Lonchura striata: one gene and its partner. The protein of the gene in region 2 interacts with the protein of the main gene of each other region in a biochemical or structural test. Links are inferred from orthologs where the notes say so. Each region holds a gene or a part of one and is shown on either strand. Other genes may lie near its edges.

The links.
Region 1: of the proteins of CASP3 (region 2) and GSN, one has a biochemical effect on the other in vitro, tested with the Homo sapiens proteins (2 studies listed by BioGRID). The link is inferred for Lonchura striata from reciprocal best matches to the Homo sapiens genes CASP3 and GSN.

The regions. Positions count from the first base shown.
Region 1 is NC_134624.1:9,498,143-9,506,269, reverse strand, and holds the start of GSN (gelsolin), read right to left. Parts: upstream 3,054-8,127; 5' UTR 2,990-3,053; coding exon 2,855-2,989; intron 1,751-2,854; coding exon 1,549-1,750; intron 1,045-1,548; coding exon 890-1,044; intron 59-889; coding exon 1-58. UniProt on the Homo sapiens protein: Calcium-regulated, actin-modulating protein that binds to the plus (or barbed) ends of actin monomers or filaments, preventing monomer exchange (end-blocking or capping).
Region 2 is NC_134606.1:31,973,502-31,981,283, forward strand, and holds the start of CASP3 (caspase-3), read left to right. Parts: upstream 1-4,604; 5' UTR 4,605-4,716; intron 4,717-7,782. Other genes in the region: PRIMPOL (DNA-directed primase/polymerase protein), read right to left, coding at 796-980, 2,171-2,189. UniProt on the Homo sapiens protein: Thiol protease that acts as a major effector caspase involved in the execution phase of apoptosis. Following cleavage and activation by initiator caspases (CASP8, CASP9 and/or CASP10), mediates execution of apoptosis by catalyzing cleavage of many proteins.

The DNA.
Region 1 (8,127 bases), on a different chromosome or scaffold from region 2:
TCTGCACAGTGACCTCGTTGGGAACCACGTGCCTGAAGCCAGAAGCCACACCACCAGCCTGGGGGGAAACACAGCAGCAAGGATTCATACCAGGACTGGGGGGAAGAGTGTATTCCCCTGTGTATAACTTGTCCTGCCTACCAGAAATTATCCCAAGCTCAGGATTCACTTTCTCTGCTGATAGACACTGGGAATTATTTATCGATGCAGGCAACAGGACCCATGTCAGTTATGCTCAAAAAAAGCACAACCAACTTTAAATGAATAAAAGTAACAACAAGCGAGTGGGAAATAAACAAAACAGAAAGATCAGGAAAGTCTCAGTCATGAGGAAGTGTGAGCACTTTGCAAGCATGTGACCTGATATCACTTTCCTTGTGCCTTTGGATTCTTAACAGACACAACTGCTTGACTGCATGTTTTCACTTCTATCCCACTTGATTGTGATGGCAGGGAGGAGTAACTCCCACTACTGTTCATCTCCTTTACCAAAACATTGCACATGCTGGCAGGGTGGGCTAAGCACAGAGACTGCAAGGTCAAACTGTTATGCAAGTGGGGAGAAATCAAATCTCCTGGGTAGGCGTTTCCCATTAACTTTGCTGCTTCTTAAATTCATTCCAGGTGCCTTGGGACTGTTCTTTCCTCTGCCTCTTGAAGAAAAACAAAACCTTGATTCCTAAAACTTTCTGGGGCTTTCCTTGTGTATTATTAATTCAGCCAAATTTCTCCCACTGGGATCTGCTGTTCTCCACCCTGTTGAGTTCCAACTCATTGAAAACATCTGGCTGAGAATGGGTTTTAAGCAACTGGAAAAAGGGCAAATCTCACTCTCCTGGGAATTGGGCAGGATGCCATTTCTTGCAAACTTGGGTCAGTTATCACCCACCTTGTATTTGATGCCAGATTTGAAGTAGCCCAGGAAGGTGGGGGACTCGTGGCCCTGCACCTCGCGGTGCTGCACAGCCTTCCCCTGCAGGTGCTCATCCATCTGCACAGTGAAGATGGCAGCAGCCCCACGCTCATCCTGAGAGCTTTCATCACCTGAAACATGGAAAGGGACACTGGGAGGGGATGCAGGCTCTGCCTCTGCATTCTACTGTGCAAACACAGGAGGAGAAAGCAGATTTAACTGTGATATTGTCAAAGAGCCTGGGGTTTGCAGGCTCTGTGACATGACAGCAGAGGGCACTTAGGAGAGGCAAAAATCCCACTCATCAGGAGGAACACACCTGACCTCCCTCCTTTCAGGCAAAAAGGATTTGAACCAGACTTCACCTGAGATCTTGCCTTCCCTGTGAACCTCTGCAGAACAGGGACTTGCCTGTCCTATTGCCAGGAAAAGCTGGTTTTAGGATCAGAGGTGGCTGTACTCTCTATTGCAGAGACCACACAAATATTTGACACGAGTAGGGCTATTTACCCCCAGCAGTGCATTCTCACTGTGCTGCTTTTTATTTCCTTGGGTAACGTTTCCTGGCCATGGTGGAGCAGAGGCTCAGGGGTCACTCTGGGTCCCAGCTCTGCAGGGACACTCCCAGCACTCACCCAACCAGAAGTGCAGGTCATACTGGAGGTTCCCGCTGCGCTGCTTGATGGTGTTCAGCACCAGGTAGGAATCTCCAGTGAAGAAGTCTCCATACAGGTTTTTTGGCACTGGCACCAAATCAAATTTCTCGACCCTCCAGATCTGAAGGCCGGGTTCCTTCCCAGCCTTCAAAAACTCGGCGTGTTCCACCATGCTGACAGGCTGGGGGTGAGACAGAGGGTGCTGTTCAGTGGGCAGGACACAAGGAAGTCTTTAAATTAAATTGCTTCTCATCTCCTAACTTGCTGTGCCAGCCAAAAAGTGGAAAGTTTCCTTTTTTTCTCATGCACTGAGTTTTAAAGGGGGGAAAAAATAAGGATGTGTGTGGAAAGAATCCCTCTCCATTGATCACTGTCAATTTTCACTTCCAATCATCTCTACTTCTTGGTTTATTACTGGCTTATCCTCTTCGAGACTCTTGTCCTCTCTCTCTGCATTTTAATCTCTGTATTTTTCTTACTAATTTATAACTTTTTAGTATGGCACATAAGTGAAGCTTGACATTCCAGGCTGTGGGAAAGAAAAATTTTGGAAAAATTTGCAAAAATATTTAGAAAACCAAATTGAAAATGCTGTGAATATCACTGAATATTTAGGTAATTAAGAGGTTTCTTAAAGCTCTTCTGTTCTGACCTGTTATTTTAACTCCTCCCTTGTAGGAATTACATTAATTTACACAACATCCTGCCCTAAGGACACTGCAATTTTGGTTTAATATGTTTATTGCCATACTTATGCAATATATCAACACAGTGCAATATCCTTTTTTTATTTTCGAACAAACATAATGAACACTTTCTTATAAAATAATTCACTTTGTTAATTCTGGAAGGAAATACAACATTTCTGGTGTATTGGCAATGAAGACTGTCCATTGATCACATCATGCCTTTGAGAGCTATCAGGTAACAGGGAAGAAAACATTACAATACTACATTAGAAGCATTCAGTACTTTGACAAAGAAGATGGTTCACAGCAGCTGATGGACAAAAGTAAAATATGCTCAGTTTTCAAGGCAGAAATAAAGAATGTTACAAGCTAGAAAGCAAAATAGTAAGTTAGGTATCAAAGTGATTCCTAAGCTGAAATCAGATATCAAAGATGGAAAAGAATTAACTTTATCACCATGATTCCAGCCTGCCTGAATCCTCCCAAATTCCCACTAAAACTGGGCAAACGCTGACAAAGAGTTGAAGGAGATGGATTCCTGTAAGTAGCTGGAAGCAGAAGTTTTTCAGCGTTTAATTGTGATGTCCATCACTTACCACAGCCGAAAGCACAAGAGCTGCTGTAACAACATATCCGAGCCCTGCCACAGACATGGAGCTGACAGAGCTCAGCTTCAGAGCCACTGTGCAGAAAATGGTGAGGAAAAGGTAACTCAAGTCCTTCCTGCCCATTTCTAGGAGCAAAGGGCTTCTCCCTGCTCCTGCCGAGCTGCGGGGAGTCCCAGCTCCCGGCTCCTCTGGCTGCTGGGGCAGATGAGGGGCAGAAGCCAATCTTTTATCGGGGACAAACACACCCACCCCCTCGGCAGCACAGGGGCGGAACGCGTTCGTGCAAACAATGCTGCTGGAACCGCCGAGCCTCTCCCGGAGCCCGGCAGGCGCTCGCTCGCACGAAGTGCGATCCATGACCGACAGCACAGCCAGGGTCACACGGGCCAAACGGCCCCTCACGGGCAGAAACTCAGAGACATCAGCAACACAGGCAGCATTTTGTCAGCTGAGAGCTGGGGAGTTGATGAGACGCAGAGGAGCAGCACGGCGGCTCCAGCTGGCAGGGAAAGACTTTGGGGAAGACAAGGATGGAGCTGAGCAGCCTGAGGATGGGGGATGCACCCTCAGCTCCCTGAAGCTGCCAGAGGAGCGGGGTTCAGCCCGTGAAGGAGGGCTGAATGAGCCCCGCACACCGCACCGGCAGGAACAATTCGGGAGGATTTGGGGAGGCACTGATGGATTTCAGCTCCCGGAGCACAACAGAGCATTCAGAGTCCTGTAGGTGACAGAACAAAAGCTCATTCAGCAATTCAATAATTTCACAACCAAGTATTTCTGAGGGTGTAGCAACACCCTGTGACAGGAACACAAGAGCCATCAAACCTACTCAGCCCAAAGGAATTACAACAGGGCTGATTGTAGCACCCCAACAATCTGCCACCAATAAAGAGATTACTCTTCCAATACCTCACACTGCAGCAAGTTCAACTATCACGTTCTCCAAGTGTTTGCAGCGAGTGAAGTGAGCAGGAGCCTTTCCCTGTGGCCCTCAGGAACTGAGCAGCCACACAATGTGGAGTCCTGCCACTGGGCTCTGAACACACCCAGGGGACAATTCCTGACAGGCTGAGCTTTCCACGGTCAGAATCTCTCAAAAGATTCTTAAATAAGGGGCCAAACCCTCCACCCATAAAACTCCACAATAAAACTTCCAGGAAGGAAAGAGCAGACCCTGCTTTGTGCTTTCTCCACTCTCCATGAGGGTATTTTCTTTCCCTCTCTCCCAAGAGCACTCTGTTGCTCTCTTGTGCAAGCTGATGCATTTTAATTTGAACTGTCACCTTGGCAATGTACCTTTGAAAATCTCACTGGAAAGTCTCAAACTGAAACGGACAATAAAAACAATGTGCTAGTCCTGTTGGTATTTCTGATCTCTGTGAAGGAAGTTCAGAGTGTCAGAGGTCTAAGTCTCACTGAAAAACATGTTGGAACCTTGACTCTAAGAAAGGCAGCTGTGAAAGGCTTTGGCAGCTGCAGCAAACCCAAACCAAAATGACTGTGTTGCATAACATTAGAAAGAGATAGGTCCTTTCCAAATGGAAAAATACTCTGGACTTTTTATTTCTAAATTAAATACCTGTATAGTCCCACATCTGGGCAAACCTCACAGACTGAAGGCACAAAGACCCAGGATAATCTCCTTCATTAACATCCCACTGTAGGATATTGTAATTCACAGATATATGCAGGCACAATATCTTTGAAAAAACATTTATTTAGTCTCCTAATTAATTTGGCATTTTGTAAGCCCAAGCTTGCATTGCCAATTAACTGCAATATATAAATAGAGGCAAAAAACTGAGAGAGGGCTACAGTGCATAAATTGCATATTTCTTTCATAAAATTAATTAATCTGAGCCATTCCTGAAGGGAATAGGTGTAAATCTACCCCAGCAGCTGGTTTGGGTTATCACTGCTGGCAGCAAGTGTTGCATTGTTAAATCAAGCCCCAGAAATGTTTACCCTGGACATTGTTCTAAGGGCACTTGCCAGCTGAGATCGCCAGGGCTCTACTGAAAAGGGTGTCCGGATGGAGACATGGAAAGCAGGCACTTTTCAAAGCTGCTGTTAATAAAAGTGTCCAGCTTGGTCCCAGAAATGGTGCTATGCACAGCCAACCTCTTATGCAAAGGAAAGTTGTTTAAGGAAAACAAGGAAAGTGCTTGAAATACAGGATTTCAGTGCAGATGGATCGGCTAAATGACACTTGGCTTCATAGTGATGAAAACAAGAACTTGGGGAAAAATAGTCCAACGATTTGAGCAACCACTGGAAGACAACAAGCTCATTATGGTCTCCAGATGTGCGGTCACACCAGCAGGACAGGCCAGCCCAGGAATGCCCTGGGAGGGAGTCAGGCCTGCAGGAACAATCCCAGGGATTTACTGCTGGGCACCCAACAGGAAAAGCTCACACTGACAAAGTCCGTGTGGGGCCCACAGACCACGGGCAGCCTGGAGCTGCTGCTCCAGGGAAGCAGCAGTGATCTCCCGAGGCTGGAGGCTGTTTGCTCCGGGGGAAGGCCAGGAAAGGCAGAGAGGCCCCAGGGCAATCCCGGGCGTGCTGTGCATCCTCTGGGCAAGCCCTGAGCGCTGCTGCAGCTCCCACCGCCTCCCACCCGGGACTCAGCTCCTGGCTCCTGGTACCCAAAGCACCTTTCCTACTTCCAGCCTGCAGCTTGTAACACACAGCTCTCTTTGCCTCCCTCCCTAAATTCTTCATCTCTGCTCTGCTCACTCATCCCTGTGGCCGTGCCTCCCTCTCAGCTGTGACAGTCTCCTCTGCCCTCCCACCCTGACACCAGCAGCACTTTGGCTGTTTGTCTTCACTCTCCTCTGAATTTCTGCCAAGGAGCTGCCCAGTTCTGCACTGCCCAGCACAGCCATGCTGAGAGGAATCTCCTGTTCCCTTCAGGAAAAACCTGCAGACACTGAGCCTGGAATCTCTTACTCTGCCTCACCACACTGCAAAATCCATAATTAATAATAATATTTAATGTGTGGTTCCTCCACGTCAAATCCACTCTCACATCTTCACGCCTACCACCATCTAAAGCTTAATGATGTTGCTAAACTCACTTTCTACAAGATAATATCACCCAATACTCACAGCAGGGAAAGAAAGAAAAAAAATCTTTATTTCATTTGGCAACTGGCTACTAACAAGAGAAAAATGAGCACATTTTTTGTGAGGCCCAGTTGTAATAGTTTGTGGCAATTCATATTTGTAATAATTTGTGGCAATTCATGCCTGAATATACCCACAAATATAGTCAGGACTTACCTGCACAGGGCTGCTCAGGAAAGCTTGGCTGAATTAAATGAGACAGAAACAAGGGTAGCCCACATCCCCATGTGGTTGTGCTCATTTGCAGCTCCGGCGTCGACTCGTGATGGGTTCAGATAATTTGTCTAAATCTGCTGCATAAACAAAACCCACACAGGAAGGGCTGCAGCCAACACAACATTTCACCACAGAGCATCCAAACCACCTGCTGCTCACTGCTGGATCAATTCCTGCCTTTCTACATGGCAAAGGCTGTATTTTTGATTTTAATGGATGACACTTGCAGAACATCAAAATAACTTGCAAATACAGACTGAGTTTCTTAAACATGAGAACAGTAAATCTGAGTAGAGTCTGTATCCACACTACAGTCATGCTGCAAAAATGCCCCTCATATACCAATCCTTATTGTACCTTGGGGGCAAACATTTGCATTTCCACCCAACTAACTCTCTCTTTCCTTTTATTTATTTGCCAAACATTGCCTGGAGAATATGAACTGCTCCAAATAAACAACAATATATGTTCTCAAAAAAGAAAGCCTCCCTTATCTCACAGCATTCCAGGCTGCCTGTACCAAGAGCCAGAAGAGGTAAATTACTGCTGTATTGCTGCTGCAACAACAGGAAAACCCTAAATCCTTGTTTTGCAAGAGGCAAAGGGGTATAATCTCCCTGGCATGATCAGTCTGAGGAAATCTACAGGTTGTGCTTGCCACAGTAACAGCCCAGAGCAAGGGCTGCGTTCCCCAGGTCTATAACAGCGATGCTGAAGAGATCACAGGAACAAAAACCCAATCAAGTTATCTCCTTGCTTCAGGTTCAGCCCTTTGTGCACTTTGGACACAATCTACACTGTCTGACTGCCCATGCAGCCATTTCTTTACTCTGTGATCTGCTGCTGCCCCATAAAAACTCTGATGGATTTACAAAGCTTGTGAGGGTGAGCAGCACAGAACCACTTGAGTTCTGACAATCCAAAACTCAGGACGTGATGCTGCTGAACACAAAGAAAGTTCAGCACAGGATCCACAGTGATGACAGCACACCCTGAAAATGGAAATATTTGTTTATTCCTTCAGCTTCCCTGCCAAACCAGTATAGAATATCAGTAATTCTTCAGTAAACCATTGAAAATAACTCTGGCAGGACTGCAGCTTTGTAACCAAGGGGACAGCATTGAAAAATATCTAAAGTGATGGATTAGCTGAGTTTTCAGTCTCCAGACAGCCCTAAACTCATATATACATAAAACTAAACCCTGCCCCTTTCCTTCCATCCCTTGAAGCAGCCAGTAAACAAAGATTATTTGGAATAAGAAAAAACTGGCATGGGAGAGCCTCCTCCTCCCCAGCCATGGTGACTCCATAAACTATTTCAGCTCTCAGCATGAGGAGCAGCACAATTAATGGCATTCCCTGCAGCTACATCTTAACAGAAAAGCCACAAATCCAAAAAAAAAATCAAGCTGCCTAACTCAGATCAAGAGTCCAGGACATGAAGTCCAGCATTAGCTATGCAACTGGCAAGTAGGTTTTTTGCATTTGTTAAATTAAAATTCCTACAAAACCACTTGAGCAAGTTAGAAGGCCCAGAAGATTTGAGTATTGTTCACTTTTTCCAGCTGTTTGTTTGCACTATGAGTCACATCAGCTCTATTCTGGGCTCTGTACCTTTTGAAAACCCACTTAGTAAACACAGAGCTTCCAGCCCGATGCACCCAGGCAGAAAACTTCAACCAAAAACCTGAGTTTCATCTCAATTGCAGTGATGTAAATTGGGGAGAATATTACTTCCACGGGAGAAAGCTTTGGGGATTAGACAGGTCTGCCATCTGAAACACATCCAGGGAAATCTGCTGATACAATCAGCTGGTTCAGAGCCCTGCCTTGAGCATAACTGAGAGCTGAATCATGCACTTAAGCACACACAGCACAGGGAAGGCTGGATCAGTGGAAACCACCAACCACTTTC
Region 2 (7,782 bases):
TTTCTGATCAATATCAAGTGCATCTAAAGGGAGGAGGAACAATGTCCTGAAAGAAGCAGCCTCATGGACATGATGGCAGTATAAGCTTTATGGGCAAATATTCTTCAGACATTATGTTGTTTAGATCCAAAAATAGAAATCTGATAAGAAAATAGAAAAAAACCTACTGCCAAGCCAGTGAGAACCCATTTTGGAAAAGAGGCTGTTAGGATTACTTAAATACCTGAAACAGGTATGGAGAAAAACACAATACTTTCTTTTAAAAGAGCAATCAATTTAAAAAGTGTTAAACTGAAAACAGAGGATACCTTTCAAACAATTTTTATTTGGCTAATCACGTCTAATCATCTGAACTTGCTACTCAGATGCCATTGGAGAGTTGTATTGTTTTTATTTAGTCTCTGCCTCTTCTTTATCTCTTTTTCTTATCAATTTTTCCTCCTCTTTCTTCCTACTCATTCTCACTACCTTCCCATTCTCCTGCCCACCCTGACAGCTTGTTCATCTTGAGGAGGAACAAATTTATCACTACAATGTTCCCAAAAAGCACTTTTACTGTTCAAAGTCAACACCACATATCAACTTGTATGTTAGAACAGAACTAGTACTTCTTAGAGATACTTCCAGTGCAACATGACCTACAAAGACAAAAAAAACCAAAACTTGCTCTTTCAGGATTGGGAATAAAAAGATCTTGTAAACTGATAAAGATTTCATTCCCAACAGCAATTTTAAATGATGTTCAATCTTGAAAGTATATAAAGAGTAGAGACATTCACCTAACACGTAATATACCTCTTGGCAGGTTTTTACATAAGAAAAAGCTTCAGCCTGTCGTGAAAATATTTTCCAAACAGAGGATGGCATAGAGGGTTTGGAAAGTCTTGGTCTATAAACTGTAGGAAGAGGATTTCTTTCATAGTGAGATGCTAGTTCTTCCACCTTCTTCAGTCTTTCTTGCCATTTTCTCTTCATTTCTTCTAAAGCAATTACAGATAGTCAAATCAGTATCAATCTGTTTGCAAGGCAATTTTAATTTCAATCTATCCTGTACTCCTCACTGCTTTTGATTCTGATTTTGTTGAATGTAATTTATTAATTAACTGGGAGTAGCCAATGTTCCAAATCAACACCTAACCTTGCTATGATACTCATTTTAATATTAAATGTCTCTACACTGTTTTGGGAGTACAAAAGCTTCATATTAACACTTATCAAAGATAAACACAACAGAATAAAGACAGTGAAAGAAGGCCTAGGAATTTTCATTTTGGTCTACAGAATGGTATTACACTCCTCAGAAAGTATACAAACTGTTGACTAGGCACATAACGTTAGTAAGGAGTAAAATAATACTAAAAGTAAAAAAATATTTTTCCTTTGTGGTTGAGGAGACAAATGAGATCATTTCTACGGGTAGTATAATATTTGAGTTCATAGGAGGAGTTAAGACTTCAGTGACTTTAGCTCTGAGCTCTGTATCTTAAAGTATAAGAAACGAAATCCAAAATGAGAGTTCCATTCTCCATGCTGGCCTTTGCTATTGATCACTCATACTTTCACCTGCTTTAAAAGCTCATGTACTTTTCACAACCTTACAGCAGCAATCTTATCTCTTTTCAAGAAATAGAGCCATGCAGTAACTCTTGCTATCTTGCAACCTTTAAGTTTCCAGTCCCATAAAGTAATCCAAATGATGCAGAGTAATGTAGTAAAGCATAAACACATTTATGTACAACTATCTGTAAGTGGAACACCAGGAAATCAGTAAAAAGCACTGCCAGGAAACTGTGAAACAGAGGAAGAGAGGCAAGAAGTAACAAACACAAAGGGGAATCTTCTTGTTCTGCCCAGCATAACCACTTCATTCTTCTAACAGCTCCTGGGCTGCAGTGAAAGATAAAAATGAAACTGAGTGTACTCAAAGGTATTCAAACCTTTAACAAGCTGGATCCACAAGGCAAATTTAAGTATTTAAATATTCTTGTGGAGCCCTGAAGCCCAAATTTTAGATCCTCTCATTTCCCCCTCCAGGTTTTCCATAGCAAATCTTCCTGGAACAGTTACATTTCTGCCCACTGTTGAAGCCTGCCAATGTCTTGATAGTCAGTGCCTGAATGAAGTCTAAGTAACAGAATGTTTTTTCTGTAACAGGGGTCAAACATATTACCTCTATCCCCCTTGTCCATCTTCTGACCTGTGCATTTTCTTCACTCCTTTTCTATGCTCTTAGTTTCTTCTCTGGGAATTAAAAGTTAGATTATAGATAGCAATCAGCATTTCTCAGAAGTGCTAACAAAACTTTCAGTTTCATTTTGGCGCTGCTGGCTGTAAATTAACTAGGTGCAAAAGAAATCCCTACATCAGCATTTTCCCACAAGGTGACCATTAAAAAATGAAAGCAAAGGAGAAGCCCCATAATTCTTTATTAATTTTAAACTTTCTAGTTACATTAGGCCGTATTTTTGCAGAAACACAGCTGGGAGGACCTGAACCTGGGAGAAGAGTGATGACCCTTACTTTCAACTGAAACTATCATGGTTCTTGCAGTCCAAACACTCGATATCTCAAGAGTCCAACATGTCAAGTCTTTTCAAGGCAATTTCAATTCCTGTGTGAGCTATAACACAACACATCTACTTAGAGCACATACAGTTAACACAGATCAGCCTTCTGAGTTCACTGGGAAATTCTCACTTCATCTTCCTCTCTTATGTCCCACCAGAAGTAAGGGCAGTACTTATTTTTGTTTGACTTGACTGAAAGAAATCTTGTCACAAACATGTTTGGACTTCAGTGTTATTGACTCAGCAGGATGACTGCATGAAGAGCCTGGAAAAAATGTCTCCTGAGCAATGATTTAAAGAACTTGCTGTTTAATTTTCTCTATTTTATGGAAGACTATTCTCCCTTTACTTCTTATAACAGCAAAACGTATTACACACACCTGCAGCTCAGACATGCAAATCAACTGCTACTCAAAATAACATTACACTTGTTTCCTGGCTGGTGTGTACCATGCAACATAGTTCTATGGCAGAGTTCATGGTCCTTGACAAAAATAAATCCATGAGATTTTCTCCCAGCTACTGATTCAGCCTTAGAAGAACACATTAAATTCCTTAACATTAGTGAAAATTAGCTATCCTTACATTCATCTGATGAATGTCACATTAACAAACGCTACTCATCTTCCCAATAACAAATGTTCATCTTGCCCTCCTAATAGAGGAAGTTGCCTCTACATTTACAGAATCACAGGATGGCTCAGGTTGGAAGGGACTACAATGGGTCATCTGGTCCAACTTCCCTGCTCAAGCGGGGTCATCCTAGAGCACATGGCACAGGATTGTGTCCAGTCAGTTCCTGAGTATTTCCAGTGGGGAAGACTCCACAACTCCTCTGGACAACCTGTTCCTCAAATTAAGATTGCAAGTGCAAAACTCAGTAGATCAGACCTGGTGATAAGACCTGAAAAAGTAGGTTAGTACCTGTTATCAGAAGCTGGAATACATAGCTTCCAATGTTATCTGACTTCTGATACTGAAGGTCAGTGTACAGATATGAAACTAACTGACCTGAAAGTTGATGAAGCCAAAATCAGGCCTCAGCGTCAGAGCGCTGTTGTTCTGCGAGGCAGGTCTGTGGGCAGCCAGGGACAGCCACCACGCAGGTGGGTGAAAACCCTGTCCAAGGGAAGGTACTGCCATGGTACAAGCCAGCTCATCCATGGGGATCTCGCTCACTGAGGTCAAGAGGGGGGGCTGCTCATTTAGTTATTGTCCCCACAGATTGCTCTAGATGGCCATTTCCTTTACAAACCACCATTCTGTCAGAATCACAGAACAGTCTGAGTTGCCACCGCCAACAGTCACACCATGTACCTGAGAATGTTGTCGAAATGCTCCTTGAACTCTGTCACACTTGGTGCTGTGACCAGTTCCCTGGGAGCCTGTTCCATTGCCCAACCACCCTATGGGTGATGTACCTTTTCCTATTATCCCACCTCAACCTCCCTTCACACATCTTCAGGCTGTTCCCTCGGGTCCTGTCACTGGTCACCACAGAGAAGGATCAGTGCCTGCTCACAAGGATGCTGAAGACCACAATGAGGTCTCCCCGTAGCCTCCCCTTCTCCAGGCTGAACAGACTAAGTGACCTCAGCTGCTCCTCCTATGGTTTCCCAACGAGGAAATGCCCTTCACCATCCTCAGGGTGCCCAGAACTGCACACAGCATTTAATATGAGGCCGCACCAACATGGTGTAATATACTAGAACGCTACATTTGTTTCAGCAGGCAGAGGAACTCAAGCAACAGCGCATCGTTCACACCCAAGAGCAGCAAGGACAGCCGTACCCGGCTCAGCGCTCCGAGCGCGGTGGCTCCGCCACAGGGCCCGGCCCCGCGAGCTCTGCCAGCAGAGCAGAGCAGAGCAGCCACCCCGTGCCTCCCCAGCGCGGCCTCGCACGTCTCCCTCCCGCCGGCAGAGCCCGCAGAGCCCGCCGAGCTGAGCCCGCCGGGCCCGCGCCGCTCCCCCGGCCCGACTCACGGCCCGCGCCGCCGCCGCCGCCGGTGCGCGCCGCCCGCCCAGCGCGGGGCGGGGCCAGCGCGGCGCCGGCGGGCCGGGCGGCGGCGGCGGGGCTTTCTGTGCTCGGGGCAGCGCTCGGCTGAGCGGCGCTCGGGAAAACGCGGCTCAGAGCGCAGCGAGCAGCCGGTGAGTGAAGCCGGTGAGGGGCATTGGTGCCGGGAAGCGGCGGTGCCGGGATGCGGGCGCGGCGGCGGAGCCGAACAAAGCCGTGGGGGTGGGGGTGGACCAAGCTGTGGCTCTCCAGGGCCGCGTGGCCGCCAGCATTTGTCCCGGAGGAAGTCGGCAGCGGGGAGCAGGAGGGGAGCCGCGTTTGGCCGGGGCGGGCCGGGCTGAGCGCGCCGTTCCCCCGTCTGCCCGCCGGGCTCCCGGCCCCGCAGGCCCGGCGCTCGGGCGGTGCTGGGGCGGGTGAGCCCCGGCCTGGCCCTCGGGCCAGGCGGGAGAGAGCGCCCGCGGCTCCATCCCAGCGCCCGCGGCTCCATCCCAGCGCCCGCCGTGCCATCCCAGCGCCCGCGGCGCCATCCCAGCGCCCGCGGCTCCATCCCAGCGCCCGCGGCTCCATCCCAGCGCCCGCGGTGCCCATCCCAGCGCCCGCGGTGCCCATCCCAGCGCCCGCGGTGCCCATCCCAGCGCCCGCGGCTCCATCCCAGCGCCCGCCGTGCCCATCCCAGCGCCCGCCGTGCCCATCCCAGCGCCCGCCGTGCCCATCCCAGCGCCCGCGGCTCCATCTCAGCCCCCGCCGCTTCCCCTGCCCGGGGGCAGAGCCCGGGCCTCCGGTGTTAGCTTTCCAGAAGCTTAAGGTAGCGAGTTTGTTCCCTTTCAGCCTGTCTTTGTGGGGACGCTGTAGAAACAGAGGGCAAAGAGAAGGGGAAAAAAAAGGCGCTGTAATTCTGAGCTGCTCTCTGGTGACCACTCGGTGGACCATTAACCGGAAACACGGGGTCAGAAGCTGTATTTGGATCTTCCGAAACAAAGCGTGTTAAACCTCGTCTGTACTGACGAAAAGCATGCCTGGGGTCCTGGCAGGCACTGTGGCTAACTTTTGGTAGCAGGCAACACGCCCTGACGTGTGTTGTGTCCTGCCTGTTCCCTGCTGGGCTGAAGGATAGGGCTGGCCATCTATCGTCTGTCTGTCTTTTACTCTGTAACTCAGAGCTCTCTCCTTCAGGTATCTGCTTGCCAGGGGGTAGGTTTCAAACTAGCACACCGTGCCCTTCATGTTAAGGAGCTGATATGGCTGTTGCTTATAGCAGTGTGATTATATATATATATAGATGTGATTAATAGCTACAGGTAAATTAATAACTCCAAGGTCCCTTCTACACTTGGAGTAATTTCAGCTGATTTTACAGCTTCATGCTGAGTACCTAAAAGTCTGTTTGTTGTGGAAGATCAGAATGCTGGCCCAGTGTCAGGACTTTCCAGCAACTACATCCAGACCAGAAGCAATGGGAAAAGCTGTCTCAGTATGGGCCTGCTTCCATCTTTGGTAGCAGTATTTAGCAGGGGGATAGTGTCTCACAGAAAATGTAATGCTGTATTTCAGATGTTTTTTGTTTTTTCATATAGTCTGCTTCTGTATCTTCCTTCTCTTATTAGTCAGATAATTATTGTTTAGCATTATACATTGTAGAGGGGAAGATTTTTAATTTGCATGTCTGCATTAGTATCATGATATGTCATGTATATGTTTGTCTACAAAAAATACCTTCTTTAAATGCTTGACATTTTCTCTTGCATTCATGTGATGTAGAAAACTGCCCTTTTCCTATCTTTAAGAAGATGTTTTACATTGCTGATGTCTGTTTTGAGCATGTTTTAGCAGTGCTATACTCATTGCTTTGTAGCAACAGATATATTCTGAACATGTGTTGTTTCCTGTGGTTTGCATATTTCAGGATCCAGTTGGTAACTAAAGACAGTTTAGTTATTTGCTTTCTCCCATCTCGGAAGCTTTGGTATTTTTATCACTATATATTTTTATCACATTTCTGTTGTTCTCATTTCAAAGAAATATTGCTTTAAAAAGAAAAAACTGATGGTTTTTATGGCCACCATAAGTAACCATGTGGTAACACATGATGATGTGAATTAATTTTCTTTAGGTCCAGGTGGAATAAGTAAATCCAGGCTGCAATGGAGTAAAAAGTTGTTTTATTTATTGTTTTCCTGTCAAAAGAAAAGTATTGGAATAACTACATTTATGTAGGGGAAAAAATCTTTTTGCTCTTATTGCTGTACAGAGATGAATTGGTCATTTCTTGGTAGCTTGCAGAACATAGCTTTGAACCTTTTTGAGACACTTTATTTCTTATTACCTAGTATATGTAAAGATCATTGTAGCATCACCTTTATGTTTGCTGTCTCTGTATCATGTTTTTTTTTAATTGTATTTTTTTTCAGACTCACTATTATAAAATAAGCTTCCTAAAATCTACAGAATATATTTTGCTAGATTATAAAAATGCTATTGCTCTTTTTAATAACTTGTTTATATTTCCTTACACTTGAAACCTCGTTTTACCTAAGCTTTCAGAGAAAATATCAAAGAGCAGCATAAAAATTTGTAATAAATTTTTAAAGCACTGCAATGATTTCTTCCCCCCACACCTCCCCTCACCAGGATGAGATCATCCTCCACAGGGAAATGCATGGCATCACTGCATTACCTAAAGCAAGATGAGGCAATTCTTACTGGCCTGTTAGAATCAGCAGCATCCTCCAGAGAGCATTGCTGTGACCCTGCTTCAGAGCACAAAATGCCCTGCTGATTCAGGCACGCATTTGAGTGCCTAGGGTGTCTTTTGTTCTTTAAAGAAGTGCAGGTGACCTGGTGCCTGAGGGTGCTCAGGAACTGATGGATATTAAAAGTGAGTTATGGATTCTGTTCTGAAGAGAAACTATGCACATTTCAAATACTTAACGTGTTATAACCAGTTTTTCTAGATAATCCCTATAGCTTCTGTAAAGTCTCTGAGACAAGCTCCAGTTGTGATGGAGTGCAGGAAGCTCTAACACTTCACTGAACAACTGTAACTGTAGACTCTGAACTAGGCTTGCAGAGTAAGAAGTATTTTTATGATACAAGTTGTGATTTAAATTTTTCAGAAAGAAACTAATATAATTGATTGGAATTGTAGGTTTTGCTAGCTACTTCTTCCAGTTTCATTGTTTCTTTGATGCTGGATCAAGAAC